Linked DNA regions of Mus musculus: regions 1, 2, 4, 5, 6 and 7 are each reported to be linked to region 3. The links are microRNA targets in miRTarBase. Many come from high-throughput screens and were not tested one by one. Region 3 holds a microRNA gene; each other region holds the end of a gene's coding sequence.
What was found. Region 3 holds the annotated microRNA mmu-miR-3470b (UCACUCUGUAGACCAGGCUGG, at 1,645-1,665, shown strand). A microRNA usually pairs through its seed, bases 2 to 8, with sites in the 3' UTR of a target mRNA and lowers its output. Matches are read on the target gene's strand: a 7mer-m8 pairs with bases 2 to 8, a 7mer-A1 pairs with bases 2 to 7 and ends in A, and an 8mer does both.

Region 1 (3,115 bases), not on the chromosome of region 3:
ACAGAGATTGGACCTAATTGACTCCAATTAGACAAGTGGATATTTATAATTGAGGGGTAGTGGTGAGATTTATACTGGAAAATTACTGAGTAGAAACTTAAAAAAAAAAAAGGGGTTCTAACTTAATGTGACAGGACTCACTATGACAAAATTTTGCCAAACCAGTATAGGGATTTTATCCATCTGAGTTTTTAAGACATGATTTTGTTAGGTAAGTCTGGCTAGTCTGGAATTCAGTATATAGCCAGACTGGCCTTATAGTAATCCTTCTGCCTCAGCACTCTTGAGTGCTGAAATCACAGACATATGCTAACTTTAGCAGTTTAAGAAGTCTGCAAGATAAAATATTCTACTTAGTTCTGTCCTTGTATTTTTTTAGGTTTGGTAGAAAAGCTTTTTATCTTGTTGGATATATTATTTAAATTATGGGGAGGAACATAGAAGCACAGAGTATTAGGAGAGTTTTAGGTATTATTAATAAGCTAGTTGGTCCCACCCCAAGAAACATATTTGGTTTTTGATTATATAATGGCTAGCGACACATGCTTATTATCTCTGCTTATAAAGGTGGAGGCCTACTACATGGTCTTAGCTACTAATTGTCAGCCATGACATAAAGAGGATCCAGGGTAAACAGAATGACAGACCAGCCACCAGTAGCTGAATGCCACCGAGGCAAGGCAAGGCAAGACAACCCTAGGTTTGCACCCATGAGTGACACAGCTTCTTCAGGATTCTATCAGGTGCTTCCAACACACTAAACAATAAACATCTTTCCTTGTACTTTCTTTCCTCTGTAAGGTCCTGAGCACCTACAAGACAGAGTGACAGCTGAAGAGGAAACAGGTTCTGTCATGATTTATTAGGGTACACTTTTTTTTAAGGTTTATTATATGTAAGTACACTGTTGCTGTCTTCAGACACTCCAGAAGAGGGAGTCAGATCTCATTAGGGATGGTTGTGAGCCACCAAGTGGTCGCTGCATTTGAACTCAGGACTTTTGGAAGAGCAGTCAGTGCTCTTAACCGCTGAGCCATCTCTCCAGCCCCTACGGTACACTTTCAAGAAGACAAAAGTAATGCCTTTCAGAAAAGTGAACACTTTAGAATGTATCTATGAAATATTCAGACTTGGACAGCCAAAGCTACGCAGAGAAACTTTTTGAAATACAAACCAAATTCTGTGGGACTAGCTGTGTAGCTTGATGACAGGGTGCTTGCCTCGCATGTGCAAGGTGGGTTTAAGCTCCCACACCATACATACACACACACCCAGAGAAAGTGCACCAGCACTTGGGTTCCTTCTTGGCACAAGGTCAGAGAGAAGGTAAAAACAGGGTTTCATGTATCCCAGGCATTCACTCCAGAAGTTTTAAAAAAAGACTAAATTAATGACAAATAAGTTGTACTTTGTCAGTGATCTGAGTGCAAGCAATAGCAAGGACTAGAAATTACCAGGAGGGAACAAAGCAAACCAAAAACCAGAAAGGGGAATTAAACCCAGGGTTTTCCCACAGAGCTGTTATCTCCAGCCCTTTAATTCTGAGACAAGATCTGACTGACCTTGAATTTGTGATTGTCATGGTTTAGACTCCAAAGTGCTGGGATTGCAGGCATCTACCACCAAGTCTGCCTAGAAAGAAGATACTTTTATGGAGGAAAATAATCTGAATGTCTCTGAAATATTAAAGGAGTATAAGAAATTAATTTAAATAACAGTTTGATTCATTTCTTGTTATTTCGTTGGTTGGTTTTGTAGCACTGGGGAATTAAACCCAGGGCCTTATTCGTGCTAGGCGAGCACTCTACCACTGAGCTACAGCCTTAGCCCTAAAATGATTAATTTCAAATCTTTTTTTGTTTGTTTGTTTTTGGTTTTTCCAGACAGGGTTTCTCTGTGTAGCCCTGGCTGTCCTGGAACTCACTCTGTAGACCAGACTAGCCTCAAACTCAGAAATCTGCCTGACTCCCCCAAGTGCTGGGACTAAACGTGTGCGCCACCACACCCAGCTAATTTCAAATCTTTAATGTAAATATACTTGGGCTCAATTTATAATTAAAAGAAAAAAAAATCCCACTAAGCAAAACAAAAGCATCTGAAGATACTACAGAAGATTCCTGTTTGCCTGTCCTTACTCTCTCACCCTTCACCGGCCCTCTCCTCTGTGTCTGAGAACATTTAATAACACCCCATTAAATCTATGCCACAAATACAGTTGATTCCACCCACAGTCGATGAATGTTCTCAGATTGTAAGCCATACAAATACACTAGGGGACAGACAATAAACGATGCAGATGGTCTAAGGAGCAAAGAACTTGTGCAGAACAGGAAACAAAATGGAAATCCACCTGGGTCAGAGGTAAAGGGTGAACTCCTTTTGCTGAGTGAGGCTCAGATTCCCCAATGGGCCTTTGCTTGTCCACTTGAGTTCAAGTTGAGAAATGTCTCTTTTCTTCATTAACCAAACATGCCCAGGTACAGCTGTTTCTCCTTCCTATGGTAGCTGCTGAGTTCTGACTGCGTCAACTGGAGGTACCGCCGAACATTGGCATCTTCAAAGACAATAGAGGTTTACAGACAGACCATAATGACACAAATGGACCACAGAGCATTGTTAACACTCCTAGTTATTTTAGTTCTCCAAACTCTGAATGTATCACAACTATTCCATATAATAGTAAATTCTATTATTTATTTATTTATTTATTTATTTATTTATTTATTTGGAGACAGGGTTTCTCTGTGTAGCCCTGGCTGTCCTGGAACTCACTTTGTAGACCAGGCTGGCCTTGAACTCAGAAATCCACCAGCCTCTGCCTCCCAAGTGCTGGGATTAAAGGCGTGCGCCACCACTGCCCAGCGTAAATTCTATTTTTAATGCCACTATGAGTTATTATTATTAAGAGACTGACTTTGAATTTGATCTATATCTGAAAATGGCCTTGAACACCCGATTCTTTTGCTTCTACCACCAAACCCAGCTTAAAATTAAACAAGGGGCTGGAGAGATGGCAGAGGCAGGTGCATGCTTTTAATCACAGCACTCAGAAGGCAGAGGCAGGCAGATCTCTGTAAGTTTGAAGTCCACCTGGTCTACAGAGGGAGTTCCAGGA
Region 2 (3,115 bases), not on the chromosome of region 3:
GTATCTAATGACATCTGAAAAGGACCTCTGTCCTCAAGCATCCTGATTTTGAATAGGGATCACTTTCTTTTTTTCTTCCCTGTATGGTGAACCTGTATGTATTTCAAACCTACTTATTGGCATCTAAGAAAATACAGTTTCCTAAATCAGTTTATACAGCAGCATTTTCCCCAGTAGGAAATCTTCACAAAGGGTTCCAAAGTACTTTGAATAGCTTCAACTTGGGAATTGACTGTTAACTCAAAGCTGTACTGGACACCCAACTTTCACATGAACAAGTACTTCATGCAGAAATGCCCAAACTCAAGGCAAGGGGGCTTTGAAGTTTCTTCTCAATGTAGAATCAATAGACACACTCTAAGATAAATGCATTTTGCATAGAGGAAAACACACTTTGAATGACATTCTAATAATATTTGGAATGAAAGCACATGACTAGGAATTCCAGCAGTTTCCAAACAAACAAGCAACAACAAACCACTCTGTGAGTTCAGGGAAGCCCTGGGACTCTTAATTGTTTGTAACTAATGTAGTCTGAGAATTATTAATACCTATATCATCAAATAAATTTAATACAACTTTTCTGATTTAGGAAGGAAATGTCAACGAAACAAAGAGCAAAGAAATTCAGAATGATTTTTCCTCCTGATCACAAACAATTACTGTTATTTTCACAAAATACTAAATAAATGGGCTGTACTGGAGAAATTATCATATCAGGTATTTGCATGAAACTGGACATTTCAGGTTCCCAAGCTTCCCTCTTACTGTTTCCCTATTCCTCTAATTTAAAATGATTTTCTACTCATAAAAAAAATGGGGTGTAAACACGTTTCAGTGAGTATTGTGAAGGGATTATGGCCATGCCTGTCAGACTCTCACTACACTTTTCTCAATACAATGTATTAGAATCAGAATATTATCTCTGGAGTCCTAATCACAAGGTGGCACCAAGTTCTTCAAGCACCTCCACTGCTTGCTGCCTTTCCATCTCCAGATGGAGTTCTAGCAAAGTGTAGAGAAAAGACAGGAACAAAGATATTGATTTACTAGAATTCTTTTCATTTCAAATACTGTTAAAGGAGAGGTAAAATGTATCCAGTGATTTCCTGGACCAAAAGCATTTGAAAAATCTGACAAGAAAGGGTGAGCGGGTGTTTCTTTTTTTGTTTGTTTTTGTTCACGTTTGCTATGGACTGAAATAGTGGACATGGGATTTCTTCCCAATGCTCAGGGCAACCATTTATAAAGAAGATTTTGTTTTGTTTTAATGAATTGTTTAGTAATGCCTCCTATGTGTTTATACTGAGTGTTCTGAGCTGTATTTTATGGTGCTACAGTTGTTCGTGGTGCATTCCTTGTTCCTACTCCAAACTCAAGAATAGCTATTGTGAGGTAAATGGAAGTATAATCCTCAGGAAGCCCCTGTGATAAAGATGATAATGATTTACAATGACCATTGGGAAACCAAATGCTCTAAAACCATTCTTCCCTAACTCTGATTTAGCAGAGTGCTTTAGCATTTGAGGCGAATCCCCACATTTCGTGTTCTGTTTTGTTTTTGCAGCTGCACACACAGACACACACAGACACACACACACATACACAAAAGGGACTTAAATCTAGCATTTTGTTGCATATTTAATAAAAAGATCTTAAGCCATAATTGCTGTAGCTGCTGGGTGCCTTATTTCTCCAAGAATTCTCTCTGTGCATGCAATAACTTTGGTTAAATTATTCTGGACTTAAAAGGCAGAAGAGTATTGAAAATAGTATGGTTTCTGAAGCATCATCGTAACAAACCAATTTCAAAAGATTCGGCTGCTGAACGTTACTTCATAGTCCCTTTGTAGATGAGTTGTTCGGATTTTAAAGCAGGAATCATGTGCTGTTATTTGTGTGGCCATTAGTCTCACGAAAGGAAGAGAACAATAAATGAGACGAAGAACCCATTCTTCCAATGATTGTCATTGAACTGATTGGTGCATTAGTAAACATTCATAGTATGAAGTCTCTCTCGGGCTTCGGCATAGAAAGTAGTGCAAAAGAAAAAAAAATCCAGTTTTAAGACCTGTGAACAAAACTTGTTACATTTCCTCCAGAATGTTAGGCATTTGCTATTATATCTCCCCAAAATTAATAATAAAATATAATCAATTTCTAAAGGCCCCTGCAGCCTTTTCAAAAGTTAATTTCCAGTTAAAAATAAACTTTAATTAAATCCAAGATTAAATTGTGACCTATATTCTATTAAATAATTTACTTTCTCTTTTTTCTACACAGTAATTCTTATAATTTCTAAAAAACAACTACAGAATCCAAAGACATAGGAGATGTTATTAAAACACTGGTAAAAGACTGCTCAAATTCATTAGTTCTTACATAGTAAATACTTCAGAATGCCAACTTTTTCCATCACGGCACAATTCCCAACAGTGTTGACAATTTACTTACATACCCAGGTACACACACTCTCTCGCTCTCTCACACACACACACTCACTCTCCTCAGAACCACCTTTACTATTAACATTTTTCCCATTATGTGCAAAATTCTTGCATTCTATTAAAAAATATAAAGATAGATCTGCTGTTTTTAATGCCTCCCTCTTCTCCAAGATGTATCATTTATTTGATATGCAATACACGTTTAGTCACAATTATGCCATGTATTACCATTAAACAGCATATTACTGTATGCAGTGCAATCGTTTGCATATCTCATTTTCATAACTGCATTCTCTATGTATGAATATATTTGGAGATGGGGGGACAGTGGCAGGTGGAGAGAACAATTCACACATCAGTCTCCACAGCCTTTGCATTAGAACAGTTGTTTTTATCTGTCTCGCTCTCATCTCCCTTTCCCTGACACTTCTCCTCCTTTCCACATAATGATTCCTTGACCCCTTCTTCCATCTCTAGATACTCTGACTTGTCCCCCAGGGAAGAAGAAGTGGAGCTCCGAAATTTCTTGAGCAAATTAGAAGGTAGGTATGGACAACTGACTGCGTTTTGTGTCAGCTGGGTCTGTTCTTCATTTTCAGTCTCTCTGTGGTAGAAATAGTTAAAGTTAGACACAATCACCGGCACAGGCAAAGCAATGGTTAAGACAC
Region 3 (3,115 bases):
ATAGGCAACCAACCAAAAAGGCAAATGGTCCTTGGATCTTGGCTTCTCTCATTTAGCCTAATGTAAAATGCTACAGAATTTTAATGTATTATCTTTGTTTATTGAGGCTATGGTCTCAATTAACATTGATAAGGTACATTTTTTTTTAACTTGGAGAGTTAGTAAAATATTCACACTTCTTAATGAACAGCTGTCCAAATAATCTCTCTACTAATTTCTTTATCACACTATAGCAGCACATGACCCTGACATTACCATTGCTTGCATCCCCCACGGCACGGTCAGCTCCTTTGACTAAGGTGATCGGTGTCTACTGAATGTGGGACACATGCCACGGTGCTAGGGAGACTTTGAGGAAAAGTCATGAAACCACCCTAACCCTCAAATTGCTCTAGTGTCTCCTGTGAGATCTCACCAGCCCCTGCTCCAGATCCTTAATAAAAAGGCTTTCTAGTAGTAAATTCTAAGAGTCATAGCCTCATCTCTAACATTTCTTCACGTCCCACACGTGCTTACCAACTTAGCAAATGAGTCTCTTCTCTCCCAACTTGCACTCTACCAACAAGAGGGCAAACCGCACCAAACGATGAGTTCAAAGAAATTCAGAACTGAAACGACCTACAATGATCCCACTGTGATGGGCCATAATGCACCTTGACACTCTACGTTGCTTCACTGTACCTTGGCTGCACATTTTCTTCAACTGATAACAAGTGTTCCATTTCTTCAGCGTTTAAGCCTAGCTCCGTGCCATAGTTCTGCTGGAGCAGTTGCCAGAACTCCTGTCTGGTCAGGCTCTAAGATGACAGAAACATTGCGTGACTATTGGAAAATGCAACAGATAACGTAACTGTAATTCAAAGCACAAAGGCCAAAGTCAGAGGAGCCGTGGTGTGAGCAGTCAAGGTGTGGCTCGGATAGATCCTGGCCTATTTGTCTCCCTATTTTCTATTTTTAAAAAAAAGGGTTAATGGGAGCTGGGCATAATAGCTTAGTGGTTGAGAACTGCATATCATCCACAAGGCTCTGCAGAGCTCCATCCCCATCGCTGAAAAGGAAAGGTTAAATATGCCCATTTGATAAGAGACATTCAAGAGGAAGTCCCATGGATAAGAGCACTGGCTGCTCTTCTAGAGGACCTGGGTTTGATTCCCAGCACCTGCATGGTGGCTCACAACCACCTATGACTCCAGTTCCAGGGGATCTTCTGGCCATCTCAGGCGCACGAGTGGTGCACAGACCTATATGTAGGCAAAAATGTAAGAATAAATAATTAAACCAAGAGTTAAATCGATAAACAGATAATCGTTTCTCACAGGGTTTAACCACATTCTCAAGGCCGATCTTGGGCTTGAGCTATTCTCCAAAGAAGTTGAAACTAAAAGGCACATTCCACTTAGAAAATGGTGGGTTTTCAAAGTGTGTATTAAAGAGGCTACTGTGCAGAAGTACACTTCAGTAAAGATGCTTAAAGTGATTTTTTTTCTATAAAAGTAAGTTACTTATCATTTCTGCTAATTACTGATCTGAAATCCATACAACCTATGATCACAATTCAGAGTTGTCCTAAATGTTAACTCAGAACCAAATTTTTTTTTTTTTCCGAGACAGGGATTCTCTGTGTAGCCTTGGCTGTCCTGGCACTCACTCTGTAGACCAGGCTGGCCTTGAACTCAAAAATTCACCTGCCTCTGCCTCCCGAGTGCTGGGACTAAAGGCATGCGCTACCAATGCCCGAGAACCAAAACTTCTAATTCACGATTGTATCTGAATATTTTAAGCATTTTTAGAACTTTGCACACCAATGAGCTCCAAATTACATTTTCCTAAAATATAAAATGCAAGAAAACAACCTTCAGAATACTAATTTACTTTTAGTAAATTCTAGCTTGCTTCCTTTATAGACAGCATGTCAGTGGTAAAGTTACCAAGTACAGCCGAGAAATGTACCCGTGGTTAAGAGTGCTTGCTGCTCCACCAAAGGACCAGTGGCCACATCCTAGCTCCCACATGAGGCAAGTCACAAACATCTGTAAATCTGTAACTCCAACTGACACACCCTTCGGGATTCCATGGGCATCACACACACACACCGACCCACTTAAAAAAAAAAAAACCTTAATCACCAAATAAAGCAAGCTGTAAACTATTTGGGAAAATAACATCATATCATAGTAACAGACTGGTCTCCGGGAACATTGCAATTAATTACATGATTAAGCAAGACAAGAGAGAGAGACAGCATGGTACTTGAAGCAACTGTCAATACGATCTTCCATCCATTCCACAGGTCTTTATTGGGAATGAAACCTGTGGCACCGCTCTAGATCCAAAGGGTATAAAAACAATCTCCGAATTTAGTACTCATGTCTGAAGGATACAGGGCACTCTTAAATCAGATGCACATGATCATGTGCTAATGGGCTGGAAGAGTCTATGGGATAGGGAAGTGCAAAAGGAGTTAATATTATTGAGGACCAAGGTGGCCAGATGAGGCTCCACCGAGGAGATAGGCTTCTGGGTAAGCTAGAGGACAGACGGATTCGTGAAGAAAAACTAGAAGAGATGGAGAGAAGACGACCAACCCATAGGGAGGGCAGAGATGGACAGAAGTAACATTAGTTATGAAGCTAGCAAGTAAGTCATCTCCTAGCCCAATCAGAGAAATGTTTCAAAGTTAAGAGGTTGAATGTAAAAATATATAATGGGGCCAAATGTATAAAGGCCCTGAATTCAGCCCCGGTGTTCAGCCCCTACAACAACCACCACCGCCTTTCCCTCCTCCCAGGAGCAGCTCTGTGTCCTGGTTTTTACTAGATGACTCTCCTTACACTTCATGGAACCAGGGAGCTTAAAAGGAAAATGGTCTGGACTTGCGGCAGCTATATCCCAGTTTGCCAAGATGACCACAAAACCAGCTGATGACAATTCAGATGTCATTATCTACACTTCAAAAATGTCAAAAATATTCAAAAACCTGCAATAAAGGAGGCAAGCTAAGAAAAACATGCCTCTTTGCTTCCAGCTGATTATGTGAACGCGGAGTAGAAATCCCAGGTTGGAGAACTCTAACTGAAAAATCACACATCTAGAAAACAAACTCTGCGATGCTCTC
Region 4 (3,115 bases), not on the chromosome of region 3:
CTGACCACTTCAAGGTTGCGGTCAACGATGCTCACCTACTGCAGTACAACCATCGGATGAAGAACCTCCGGGAAATCAGCCAACTGGGGATCAGTGGTGACATAACCCTCACCAGCGCTAACCACGCCATGATCTAAGCCAGAAGGGGCGGCACCGAAACCGGCCCTGTGTGCCTTAGGAGTGGGAAACTTTGCATTTCTCTCTCCTTATCCTTCTTGTAAGACATCCATTTAATAAAGTCTCATGCTGAGAGATACCCATCGCTTTGGGGGTTTTTATGATACTGGATGTCAAATCTTAGGACTGCTCGTGACTGCTAGGCAAGTGTTCTCTCACTGAGCTACACATCCCTAGCCTTTTAAACTTTGTGTGTTGTGTGTCTGTGCACATGGGTACAGGTGCCTGCTCACTTGAGAGGCACCAGGCCTCCTGGAGCTGGAGTTACAGGTGGTTGTAAGTAAGCTGTGTGACCAGGTTGCTGGGAACCAGTCTCAGATCCTCCTGAGACAGGTCAGGTCCACTGATGCCTCCAGCTGCCTGTCTTTATATGCCCTTTGATTTGGTGCAGTTTTATATAAAGGGAACTATGTAATTATCAATAAACCATCCTGATTTTTACAAAGGAAATACGCTGAATGGCGCCAGCTCAACAGCAGACAGTTACCGTCGGCATCTGGGGAGAGTTGTGTTGCTTAGCGCTGCTCGGCGATTCCAAGGAAAGATCAAAGGGTGCACTTACACAACCCTAGATAAGGGCCAATCAGGAACAGGAAAGAACGACGTGAGGCTGCTGCCAGTGCTGACCCTGCACACTGTCTTCCAGCATTATTCTGTACCATGCAGACTCTGCTCTATACGACTGGGAGCAGGTCGCTCACACCAGCATCACTGCAATTATGGGACAATCAGGTATATAGTCCTGAACTATCTGTTGTGGAGGCTGGTCTTAAACCCATTTTTCCTGTAAAGCCCCAGGTTATTGCCTTCAAATGAGTACTCAACACCATTAAGACTGTGTCTTGGTTTTCATGTCCATTCTCATACCTAACACTTTCTATCTTTCCTATTATCAGTAAGCTCAAAGTAGGAAAAGGTCAAAAGTCTTGTTCTACAACGTTATCTTCTCGATTAGTTTAAACTGGTGAATGTCACAAGCTGGCGTCCCAGGAAAACAGAAATCAAGAGGTCTGTAAGAACAAGCACTTGCAATTGCAACTGATGGGACAAGAATGTACAGAGAGCTGGGTCTCTCCTTCCAGAATGTAGGTTCCGGGCATTGCTCTCAGGTTTGGTGTCCTTACCCACCAGGCAATTTCTCCACCCATAACTTTCCGTCATCCATTAGCAAGCTGTTCCATGCCGCCTCAGGTTTTGGTAAGGGGGGGCATTTTATGAACATTCCTCTATGCAAACTCCTCAAGTAACCTTCCAGTAAGTTGTTTGGGTGTCATGATAAGCACCATCTTTCCCCAAAGCCAAACACACCTACTTCTGACGTCAAAAGTAGACTAAACTTTCTCTTGAAAATGTCTAACCCTAAACCTGTAAGGTTCCTATTCTGTGTGGAATGTCTCCTTCCAAAGCACTCAGGCCAAATTATAACACAGGAAACACGGGGAACACAGGGTAGGGCTGTTAGCTTTTGCTACTGTTTGCTGTTGGTAGCACTGAGTTGTCACTTATGTTCTACTGTATGTATGAATGTATGATGTATGTATGTATGTATGTATGTGCGTGGGGGGAGGGGAAGGGCTGAAATATGCCACAACATGAAGGTGGTGTCAGAGGACAGTGCCTTTCTCTGAGCCATCTCCTTCCCGTATCAGCAGTGTTTTACGGTCATGACGCTAAGGGATTATAAAATCAGAGCTGGAGTAGCGACTCAGCCAAGTGCACACACTGCTCTTCCAGAGGACTGGCTTTCCAGCGCCCATGTGAAATAGCTCACAGCATCCTGAAATTCCAGATTTTTTTGTAAAGATTCTTCTCTCTTTCATCCTTGTCCATGGCAGCTAGCTCTGTTAAAGGGGAAATTACCAGAGGCAGCAAGGATTGAACAGTGTAACTATAATCAGTGCACTTCATGATTCAGGAAACCTTATCTAAAGGAATACAGGAAAACCAAACTATCCTGATGTCAACAGATACAGGTGCTCAAATGAAAATCTATAAAATGAGCCGGCAGATGCAAAACTATCTCACTTTATCAGAGAATTAACAATGCGAAGAAAAGAATGTTTGTTTGTTTGTTTATTTATTTATTTATTTATTTTGGTTTTTCGAGACAGGGTTTCTCTGTATAGTCCTGGCTGTCCTGGAACTCACTCTGTAGACCAGGCTGGCCTCGAACTCAGAAATCCGCCTGCCTCTACCTCCCGGAGTGCTGGGATTAAAGGCGAGCACTGAATGTTTATTTAAATTAATATTAAAAGTCATGTTAAATTTAAAGCCCTCCTGGTGTTCCCTTCAGGGTCATAGTGGTGAGAAGAGAATGAGGTCACCTCCAAAGGAGAACTGTCTGCTGCGATCTGGCTGTCTGGTCTCCTCCCGAGTGCAGGGGCTGGTGCAGCTGAGGCCTGGCTAAAGAACACAGCAGAGCAGTCAAGGAATCCACCATCGAGTGTGGCCCCAAATAAGCTTTTTACACCCTTAGTTAACTGAGTGCCAAGGAGTAAGTAACTTTCCCTATGTAACAATGAAATTATTAACAGCGTAAGACCTAATGTAAAGGATTTTTGTTTTTTATGTGCACCACCATAGCAGGCGGATCTCAAGCTGCCAGCCTGGTCTACAGAGTGAGTTATAGGACACCCAAAGCTACACACACAAATCCTGTCTCACCTCCTGAGCCCCCAGTGAAGACCCGCAGCAGAGCACAGCTGGAGTAAAGAATTTCAGGGTGAAGACCACCAAGGAGGATGGCGATGGGGACAGACCCCGCCCACCACGTCCTGGCTGCAGCAGAAGCAACAGCTTTATGTTGTTCTTTCTCTCTCTCTCTCTCTCTCTTTCTTTTTGGTTTTTCGAGACAGGGTTTCTCTGTATAGCTCTGGCTGTCCTGGAACTCACTCTGTAGACCAGGCTGGCCTCGAACTCAGAAATCTGCCTGCCTCTG
Region 5 (3,000 bases), not on the chromosome of region 3:
TTCTTGAGCCTTCTGACGATAAGGATTTTTTAAGAGCTGGGTTATTTTAACATCTGACCCTAACCAAGAATTATGTACCACACATCCTCTTGTTTCCCACAAGCCTAGGAAGAACTGATAAAACATTCTTAAGAATTAGTTGTATAGCTAAGTGGTATATTAGCCCAGTGGATATTAGCCCAGAAGCTCAGAATACCCAAGATACAATTCACAAAACACATGAAACTCAAGAAGAAGGAACACCAAAGTGTGGATACTTTGATCCTTCTTAGAAGGGAAAACAAAATACCCATGGAAGGAGTTACAGAGATAAAGCATGGAGCAGAAACTGAACAAATGACCATCCAGAGACTGCCCCACCTGGAGATCCATCCCATTAACAATCACCAAACCCGACACTATTGCAGATGCCAACAAGAGCATGCTGACAGGAGCCTGATATAGCTGTCTCCTGACAGGCTCTGCCAGTGCCTGACAAATACAGAAGTGGATGCTCATAGCCATCCATTGGACAGAGCACAGGGTCCCCAATGAAGTAGCTAGAGAAAGGACCCAAGGAGCTGAAGGAGTTTGCAAGCCCCATAGAAGGAACAAAAATATGAACAAACCAGTACCCCCAGAGCTCCCAGGGACTAAACCACCAACCAAAAAAAACACATGGTGGGACTCATGGCTCGAGCTTCGTATGTAGCAGAGGATGGCCTAGTTGGTCATCAATGGGAGGAGAGGCCCTTGGTCCTGTGAAGGTTCTATGCCCCGGTATAGGGGAATGCCAGGGCCAGGAATGGGAGTGGGTGAGTTGGGGGGAATGGGAGGGGATACGGAATTTTCAGAGGGGAAACTAGGAAAGGGGATAACATTTGAAATGTAAATAAAGAAAATATCTAATTAAAAAAGTCTAATGTAAAAAAAAAAAAAAAGAAAAAGTTTTATAAGTCAGTGGCACCTGCACACCTGCCTGCTATTCAAGCCCTGGGTCTGAGGCTGAATACCACAAAAAAAGCTCCTCAAAGCCAAGGCCATATTATTACGTGGTTGGTGTAGCTGTGCATTTAAGTAACCTGCCTTTGACCTTACATCCTAATAAGATTACTAGTGACAACAGAAACAGTGACACCTTTCCCATACATAATGTGAGTTTTAGAGCATAGTAAAATTATATAATTTCTCATGATATAGTGTAAAATAAAGGAATAAAAATACACCATGTTCCTTTCCTACCAACATGACAGCTTAAATCAGGAGAGCTGTCTTAACTTCTATGTCAAGTTATCCAAAATGCAGTTGAAGTCCACGTAGGAAACATCTCTGACAGCAAGCCACTGTCTCCCTCCAAACTCTGCATGAGTCCCTAGTCTATCTTGACCAGAAAGCTGAAGCACTCACTCTGGGAAGTCCATGTTCTTCCTACCTGAGAAAGGCTCAGCATTTGATAACATTTCCAACGTGACTCTGAGAATCTGCTAGGAAATGCATCATTTCTTAAGCACTTAAAATATTCTTGACCAGAGGCGGAAACCATGACCAGACTAGCAAAGCATTGGAAATGTTTTCAGTTCTTTTAAATATTACTTCTTAAAGGTTAATTCTGTTTGCTAAGTTTATCTGAAATGAAGTCAATTTGAACAGTGTCTTCCTAGTTAGAGAATAGTAAGATAACAGAAGTGATTTTAGGGACGCTCCATCTGTGGGACTCAGACAGACTACCTGAGACTGAGTACTTTATGAAGAAGAGATGGACTTTCTCTAGGTCATCGGTCGGGAAGGTGAGGTTATCTAGTGAGGATTTCCTTGCTGTATCAGGACACTGCAGAGGAAGAAGAGGAAGAGCAAAGACGGGAGAGGTAAGGGGACAAACTCATCCTTTTATCAAGAACCACTCTAATAGAGCACGGACCCATCTGCCCTCAGGATTAAGTACTTTGTAAAGGCCTCACCTCGCGTACCATATCAGGTTATGTCATGTGTTTCCAACACATGATGTCTGTGGTGGGGCACGTTCGGACTATAACAAGGACCGTTAGTCTAAACTCTAATTCCTGTTTCTCTTAAGCATTCTCAAGCTGGGTGTGGTAGCTCAGCATATAATCCAAGCCTGGAAACAGGTAGGAGGACTGACTTTTGCGTTTGTGGCCATTCTGAGCTACAGAGTGACCCTGTCTCCAAAAGGAAAAAAAAAAAAAATTCCAGTAGCTGATACACATTCTGAAAGGTAGAATGTCCAACTGGCAACAGAACTAAATAACATTTCTGAACTGTTTGAAAAGCCCACTCTCACTCTATTGAAACCTTTTGCTTTCTGACCATGAAGTCATTAGCAGCTTGATGCCCCAACTAGAAACTTCATCGAATTCTACATATTTAGTATGTTTGGTGGTCTAGAACATAAAGGGTTGTCATGATATGGTATCCCAACCCACTGCACATCTGTACCACATTAAATTTTAAGGAAGCCACATGTCAGTCCTCAGCCCTGACAGCTAGTGAACGTGAGAAGTTAATTCCTGAATGCCATGGGGAGCAAGAGTTTAAGTGCGTACTCCCTCTTTGCTGTAAGATTCTTAAATTCTTAATAAACATTCTTTACTTTTGATGTAACTCCACCTCCTTTAGTTTTTTTATACCATCTCATGCTCAAAAACTGGCCAATCGGGAGATGAAGGGTCCAGGGCAATTTATTGTTCATTATTCTGAATCATCTTTATGAAGGCAATCCACACACTGAAAACAGCCTCAAGTCAAAGGTACGACTGCACTAACTAGCATTTACTGGTATGGCGACTATCCACATCATTCAATGTCTTTCCTCTTGTTTTTTTTTTAAATAACACTGATGAACCAGAGGCAGCAATTTCCCTTCTTTGTGAAGCCTGTGAGTGTCCGCTGCGCCTCCAATAAATCGTCCATTGACAAATATCCTGGGAACCTGTTGAAGAAGGAAAAGATAAATAAGGCCTAACCATCGGTGTCAGAACTGGTCCAGTTTTGGAGGGAAGTGAG
Region 6 (3,000 bases), not on the chromosome of region 3:
CAACTCACGTCCCAGACCACAAGTGTTCTCAGAGGTCTGGACTACTGAGCACTGCTAAGATGTACTGGCTGTGCTTGCCTACAGGACATGCTGTTTCTGGGTGACTTTAATGCCGATTGCAAGTACGTGAAGGCGCATGACTGGCCATCGATCCGCCTTCGAAGCAGTGAGGTGTTTAAATGGCTCATCCCAGACAGTGCGGACACCACAGTGGGCAACTCAGACTGTGCCTATGACCGGATTGTAGTGAGTGGCGCCCATCTGCGCAGGAGCCTGAAGCCCCACTCAGCCTCAGTTCACAACTTTCAGGAGGAATTTGACCTAGATCAGACCCAGGTGAGTGTGGACAGGGCTCCAGCAGACATACTAGTCAGCCCCCTCAGGAGAGGGCTCACAGAAATGCTCACCTGCTGGGAGTTTACACTGATGCTTGCTCTAGCAAAAGCAATTATCGCCAAGGGTCCTTAGAGTGCCAAGCCCCCAGGAAGGGACTGTTGGCACACTTCTGTTCTCTGCCACATGGAGGCAGTATGAGGCCCAAGAATGGCTACCAAGCCTTCACTGCCTTCTTGGTGGTGGTGGTGGTGGTGGTGGTGGTGGTGGTGGTGTGTGTGTGTGTGTGTGTGTGTGTGTATGTGTGTGTATGTTTGGGGGGAGGGGGCAGCTAGAGAAAACGCTGCCCTGCTGAACCGCTGAGACTCCCCCAACCCCTCTCCTTCCAGGCTCTTGCCATCAGTGACCATTTTCCTGTGGAAGTGACTTTCAAGACTCACTGAGAGCCAAGGCCTCAGGATATGCCACCTGCAGACTATTACCACAAGGACTGGCACCACAGTGAATCATTCAGGTGGCAGGCCACCCACCCACTGAGGACACAGGGTCGGACCAGCTGGTGTGGACAATGGCTGTGAACACATTTACAGGACTCCTTAAAGCTCCCATTTCCTCATCTGCAAGGTGAACTAACATCACCTACCTCATCGGGCTGCTGTGAGGAGAACCGAGCAGCGCCAGGCACATAGCTGCATGCTTAATAAACAAGCCGCTCTTGGCCAGGACTACCCACAGGTTGGATGGGGCCTCTGCTTTCTGAGACCTCTGTACCGAGGCTGCAGAGCCTGGTCTTACTGTCCAGTAGGTCTATTTCCATTGTTGTTGTTCACTTCCCAGCCTGGAGGATGCTGGCTCCTCCACACCATGCCAGCTCCCTATCCTTATTGCCTTTGTGCGAACTTGAAATGCTCGTATGAATCATCACCCAGTCACCCAGTGGCAGCTCAGATGGTAATGTCTTTCTGGACCCTGCTGGATTTGAGAGCAGGCCCTGATCATTCTGCCCCAGGGATCCTAAGGCCTCACGTAGCACTGCCGGCAGCGATGGCGGCTACACCTACCCCGTTAGTGAGCTCTTCTGCCACCTTCTGAAAAGGAACCTACAGCAAAGGCAACTGCTGGGCACGGAGTCCTACCCAGCCTGCACTCTGCTTAGGCCAAGCTGTTCAAAGGTGCCTCATGGAGTAGCTTTAAAACTTTGGGCTGGGCGAGGCCTCGGCAGGATGGAGATTTTATGCTCAGGTGGGCCATCACTTTAGGAGCAGGAAATAGCTCTGTAGACACAAGGCTCTCATAAGGCTTCTAGTTGTTAAAACTTGTCGTGTGTGTGTGTGCACGTGTACATGCACATGCACGCACACATGCATACGTGCTACTATGGAGGCCCAAGGTCAATAAAACCTCTTTAGTGAGATTGGAGAAAAGGCATGAATTACATGGGAAAAAAACCTTGCGGTGGATTAGAAAAGTTTTGTCGTTTGTGTTGGCATTTCTGGGAACTGAATCAAGGATTTAGTGCAAGCCTATCTGGATTGCATAAAATCTAATCTAAGATTCAGGACCTTACCACTGAATAAGCAGCACTGGGCTGAGGCAGAAAGGCACTTGCAGTTGCAGCCATAGGGCCCCATGCTTCGAGGGACAGCCTCTGTATGCACACGTACACTTGGATAAGCCAGAGGCCCAGCAAGTTTCTACCTTGTTTCGAGAGGAGGTGTCTCACTGGCACTTGCTGGCTGGCCGGCCAGAGCCTCAGAGATCCGCCTGTTCCTGCCCCCACCCCCACCCCCACCCCCGGCACTGGGGTCAAGCGCATCCACCTTGTCCTGCTTTGTTTCAAGTTCTCACCATAGCATGGGAAGCACTGTAATGACAGACCTACCCCACCCAGCTAGTGGGACTGTTAGAACACACACACACACACACACACACTCACTGTATATGTACATACACATGTATGTATATTTGCATGTATGTGTGTATGCACCACATGCTTCATATGAAGTGCTTTTGGAGGCCAGAGGGGGCATCGGATACCTTGGAACTGCAGTTACCACGTGGGTGCTGGGATTTGAACCTGCATCCTCTACAACAGCAGCTAGTGTTCTTAATCACTGACCTATTTCTCCATTCCTGAAACAGGACATTTTAAGGTTAGGAACACAAGAGCTAAGAGAGTTTTGAAGTTGAAGAATACCTTGTTTATATATAATCTTTGGGACCAGTGGGTCCCTAGAAGGCACATATGTGGCAGCTGTAGGTTAGCCCTTATTTTTATTTTTTTATTATTTTTTTTCAAAACAGGGTTTCTCTGTATACCCCTGGCTGTCCTGGAACTCACTCTGTAGACCAGGCTGGCCTCGAACTCAGAAGTCCACCTAGGTTAGCCCTTCTTTTGCTTGAGCTTTTCCAAGTACATGTGTAGGGACTTCTGGATGGAGTCTTTGGAGATGAAACTGGTGAAATTCTGGATGTCAGCCTCTCGCTGCTTGATCAGGTTGTCTGCGGTGGCCTTTCGCATCATGTTCTTTGTCAGCTGCCGAGAATGGTCTGAAGAAAACAGGGTTACTTATGAAACTCACCTGTGCAGTGTGGGGGGCCGTTCCCGGCTCCTCTACACTTGAGTCCTCAAGTACTGAAATATAAACTCTCCTAGAGTTGGGAAAA
Region 7 (3,099 bases), not on the chromosome of region 3:
ACCCAGAGGTGCACAGTGAGAGAGACTTTGTATCAACACAAATGCACATGCACACATACTCACAAATGGGTACGAATATGTGAAAAATGACTAAGTTTACCAATAAGAGAGTAGGGACATGCCATGGTACTGAGATTTTTGTTTTCTTGAATTTTTCTTTTTCCAAGTTTAGCAATTACTAAGAAAGCCTGTTTTAGAGCTGGGGATATGGCTCAGTGAGAGTAACCACTTACTATGTAAGCCCCACGGCCTGAATCCGGATCCCTAGGACCCAGGAAGTGCTGAAAGCAGCAGCCCAGGGCCTAGAGGACCCACCTCAGACAGGATACAGGACCCACAGCCAGTGCTATGCTCTCTTCTCTACTGTGTTCCTGCATGTATATTCAGACATTTAAAAGCTGACTTAGAGCCACAGCTACTATACCACAAGTTTATTTTCTCTTTGGCTTTCTAAGACAGAGTCTCATTTACACAGAAACTCATTTCAGTATGTGTGTGTTCTTGGAGCAGTATTTACCAGAGAGTAACAAGACTATGCAAGCCTTAAAGTCTGAAGTTGACCCTCGAAACCAATGGTGGAAGAAAAGAGCCAGCTCCCAAATGTTGTTGTGTGTCCCCTCAGGCATGCACATGCATGTGCACACAGTATAAGAACATGTTGTGTGTCCCCTCAGGCATGCACATGCATGTGCACACAGTATAAGAACATGGCCAGGTATGGTTGATGCATGTGCCTTTTACTCAAGAGTCTGAGGCACGATAATCACTAGTTCTAGGACAGCACAGTGTGTCTTGTGTCAAAAAGCAAAAGAATTACAAACAAGAAATATTTGCTTGAAAACAGAAATATTGAGAACTTTTACATGATTTAATAATAACAATTAAAGATACAAAAATGTTTAGAGGATTCCAAAATTTAAATTTTTGTTTAAATACAAATTCATTTCATAATATGAAAACATATAATATTATACCCCTAAACACAATAATTTTTCTTCTACAAAACTTTCTATACTAGAGAATTTGCAGAAAACAATTTCTTGTGACATTAAATATACATTATTTACATTGAAAAAGTAATCTAAAAACTCTACTTCGGAAACTTGGATATATATCTTTGTATGCAACTTCCCCTCCCCTTCACCCACAGTAAAAAATGATCCAAATAAAAAACAGTTATGCTTTTATAATAAGTGACACAGCTATACTAGCTCAGGACTCCCATTGCTTCTTTGGCCCTCAGAGCCCTGATGCTCTTAGAATAGCAGTCTCTCATTTAGCCCTCAGCTTACTACTAAGCCACAGTTTTAGTAACTGTGGTCTGAAGATTAATGAGCAGAGAACTTAGGAAGAATTTATGGCAGACCTGATAGTAATTTTGTGAGGAAAATATTTTTAAGCAGTATTTTACCTTTACATAAGGAGATAATCTGGTAATATTTGAAATAATTTTAAAGTACAGATAATAAAATCCTAAAATTTATAATAAGGAAACTTTTAGATCATTTTGTCTAGTCCAATGCATCCCTTCATTTTACCAGAATAGCACAGACTAGCAGGTGAAATGTCCTGTCCAGGGTTACACACCTAGGAGATGGAGTGGCCTACCCAGGGTTACACACCTAGCTAGTGGAAGTGTCACAAGTGTTGCCTTTATAATATCACATTTCTTTTTTTATTTGTTTGTTTGTTTTGAGACAGGGTTTCTGTATAGCCCTGGCTGTCCTGGAACTCACTCTGTAGACCAGGCTGGCCTCAAACTCAGAAATTCACCTGCGTCTGCCTCCCAAGTGCTGGGATTAAAGGCGTGTGCCACCACGCCCGGCTACATCACATTTCTTAAACTCAGGTTCAGACATTATCATAGGCACACTTAAATATTTTTGTTGTTGTTTTGGATTTTTTTGGGAAGGTTACATGTAGCCCAGGCTGGCTTCAAACTCACTATATAGCTAAGGCTGGCCTTGAACTCCTGATTGCCCTTTGTCCTCCTCCCAGTGCTGGAATTACACATATATGCCAATATACTGAGCATATACACTTCAATTTATAATGATAGTTTACAAATTCGTAGTATATTCATAGTATAACAGTCCAGCCAACTTTAAAGTCAAGCTAAGTGACATCGCAACAATTTTAATAGTATAAGTTTCTTGCATCTGAAAGAGCTAAGACTTAAATTATACAAGTGGAATGAAAATGTTTCCTATATAAATTTCCTGTTGTCTTATATTTAAGTAGTATTTTCAAACAATTCAGGAAGCTAGTACAGTGTCAAGCTAGAAAAGAAACTTTTAAAATATGATATAGCAACTGAAAAACAGTCAAGAATTTCTTCATCGTCTAAACCTCCTGCTCCTTCACAACTGAGTTCTGAGACATTCAGAGGAGACACACACTTGGGTTCGCCTCCTTATCTAGCAAAGTCAAAAGTAACTTTTTAACAGTTAAGAACTTCTGTGGATTTCATCTTAGAAAAAAATCATGTTATGGTCAGACAACCGAAAAATGAGTTCAATTAAAAAAATACCCACCCATAATTCCTTTGGTGTATTAAAAAGAGTTGGGCTCTAGCAGTTCATTCTGTTTGACGGCTACCTGAGAGGAAAACCCGTTTGAACTGGATAACACCATCACATAAGGCTGGGGCTGCTGGGCACTTTTCTCAGCATCTTCATTCAAATCATCTTCGGCCTTTTTCTCCACCTCTTGCTTAAGAGTTTTTGTTTCCTGAGCTTTGATAACAGAAGTGATCACAGTGCCCGGTGGGTGTGCGACCAGCTGTGAACTCCGAGAGAAAGTCACCACAGGTGTCGTCGCGCTGAACGATGGTGCGGATGCCACACTGCCCGCTCCATTGCAAATGGACTGAACATTGCTTGTGAGGACCTGCTGTACTTGGGTGGGGCTGAGGACAATTGAAGGAGAGCCTGGCTTCTGTGACTGTAGCATGACATTTTCTTTCAGTACTGTCATGGGCTGTGACGATGGAATGGTTTGTAAAATGAATTTCTGAGACCCAGCACCTGATGATGGGTCTATGCTGGCTATAACCGTTGTGAGTGGCACTGTTACTGTATGTAACTGTTGGTTGCCAGG

Region 1: the mRNA of Ttc9c is a reported target of mmu-miR-3470b. Seed matches in the 3' UTR shown: 8mer at 1,921-1,928.
Region 2: the mRNA of Kcna4 is a reported target of mmu-miR-3470b. Seed matches in the 3' UTR shown: 7mer-A1 at 2,499-2,505.
Region 4: miRTarBase lists Dlgap5 as a target of mmu-miR-3470b. Seed matches in the 3' UTR shown: 8mer at 2,322-2,329.
Region 5: miRTarBase lists Glrx2 as a target of mmu-miR-3470b. Seed matches in the 3' UTR shown: 7mer-A1 at 2,275-2,281 and 8mer at 1,383-1,390.
Region 6: the mRNA of Eci1 is a reported target of mmu-miR-3470b. Seed matches in the 3' UTR shown: 8mer at 2,671-2,678.
Region 7: the mRNA of Elf1 is a reported target of mmu-miR-3470b. Seed matches in the 3' UTR shown: 8mer at 1,733-1,740.

What each region holds. Positions count from the first base shown.
Region 1 is chr19:8,809,285-8,812,399 of GRCm38, forward strand. Ttc9c (tetratricopeptide repeat domain 9C) reads right to left here. Exons shown (of 4, transcript NM_027412.3): 4 at 1-2,554. The coding sequence ends at 2,460. Among named protein-coding and RNA genes, the nearest start is that of Zbtb3, 8.3 kb to the left of the region's middle.
Region 2 is chr2:107,296,568-107,299,682 of GRCm38, reverse strand. Kcna4 (potassium voltage-gated channel, shaker-related subfamily, member 4) reads right to left here. Exons shown (of 2, transcript NM_021275.4): 2 at 1,179-3,115. The coding sequence ends at 2,796. Among named protein-coding and RNA genes, the nearest start is that of Kcna4, 7.5 kb to the right of the region's middle.
Region 3 is chr16:44,012,241-44,015,355 of GRCm38, forward strand. Mir3470b (microRNA 3470b) reads left to right here and starts at 1,612; the gene lies at 1,612-1,737. It overlaps Gramd1c (GRAM domain containing 1C), which reads right to left. Exons shown (of 17, transcript NM_001359085.1): 6 at 682-797.
Region 4 is chr14:47,385,544-47,388,658 of GRCm38, forward strand. Dlgap5 (DLG associated protein 5) reads right to left here. Exons shown (of 19, transcript NM_144553.2): 19 at 2,236-2,580. The coding sequence ends at 2,473. It overlaps Lgals3 (lectin, galactose binding, soluble 3), which reads left to right. Exons shown (of 6, transcript NM_010705.3): 6 at 1-624. The coding sequence ends at 137. Among named protein-coding and RNA genes, the nearest start is that of Lgals3, 13 kb to the left of the region's middle.
Region 5 is chr1:143,746,434-143,749,433 of GRCm38, reverse strand. Glrx2 (glutaredoxin 2 (thioltransferase)) reads right to left here. Exons shown (of 4, transcript NM_001038592.1): 4 at 1-2,926. The coding sequence ends at 2,795. Among named protein-coding and RNA genes, the nearest start is that of Glrx2, 8.4 kb to the right of the region's middle.
Region 6 is chr17:24,438,832-24,441,831 of GRCm38, reverse strand. It overlaps Eci1 (enoyl-Coenzyme A delta isomerase 1), which reads right to left. Exons shown (of 7, transcript NM_010023.4): 7 at 2,516-2,883. The coding sequence ends at 2,717. It overlaps Dnase1l2 (deoxyribonuclease 1-like 2), which reads left to right. Exons shown (of 8, transcript NM_025718.3): 7 at 85-336; 8 at 723-1,064. The coding sequence ends at 776. Among named protein-coding and RNA genes, the nearest start is that of Dnase1l2, 2.8 kb to the left of the region's middle.
Region 7 is chr14:79,580,225-79,583,323 of GRCm38, reverse strand. Elf1 (E74-like factor 1) reads right to left here. Exons shown (of 9, transcript NM_007920.4): 9 at 833-3,099. The coding sequence ends at 2,554. Among named protein-coding and RNA genes, the nearest start is that of Sugt1, 5.9 kb to the left of the region's middle.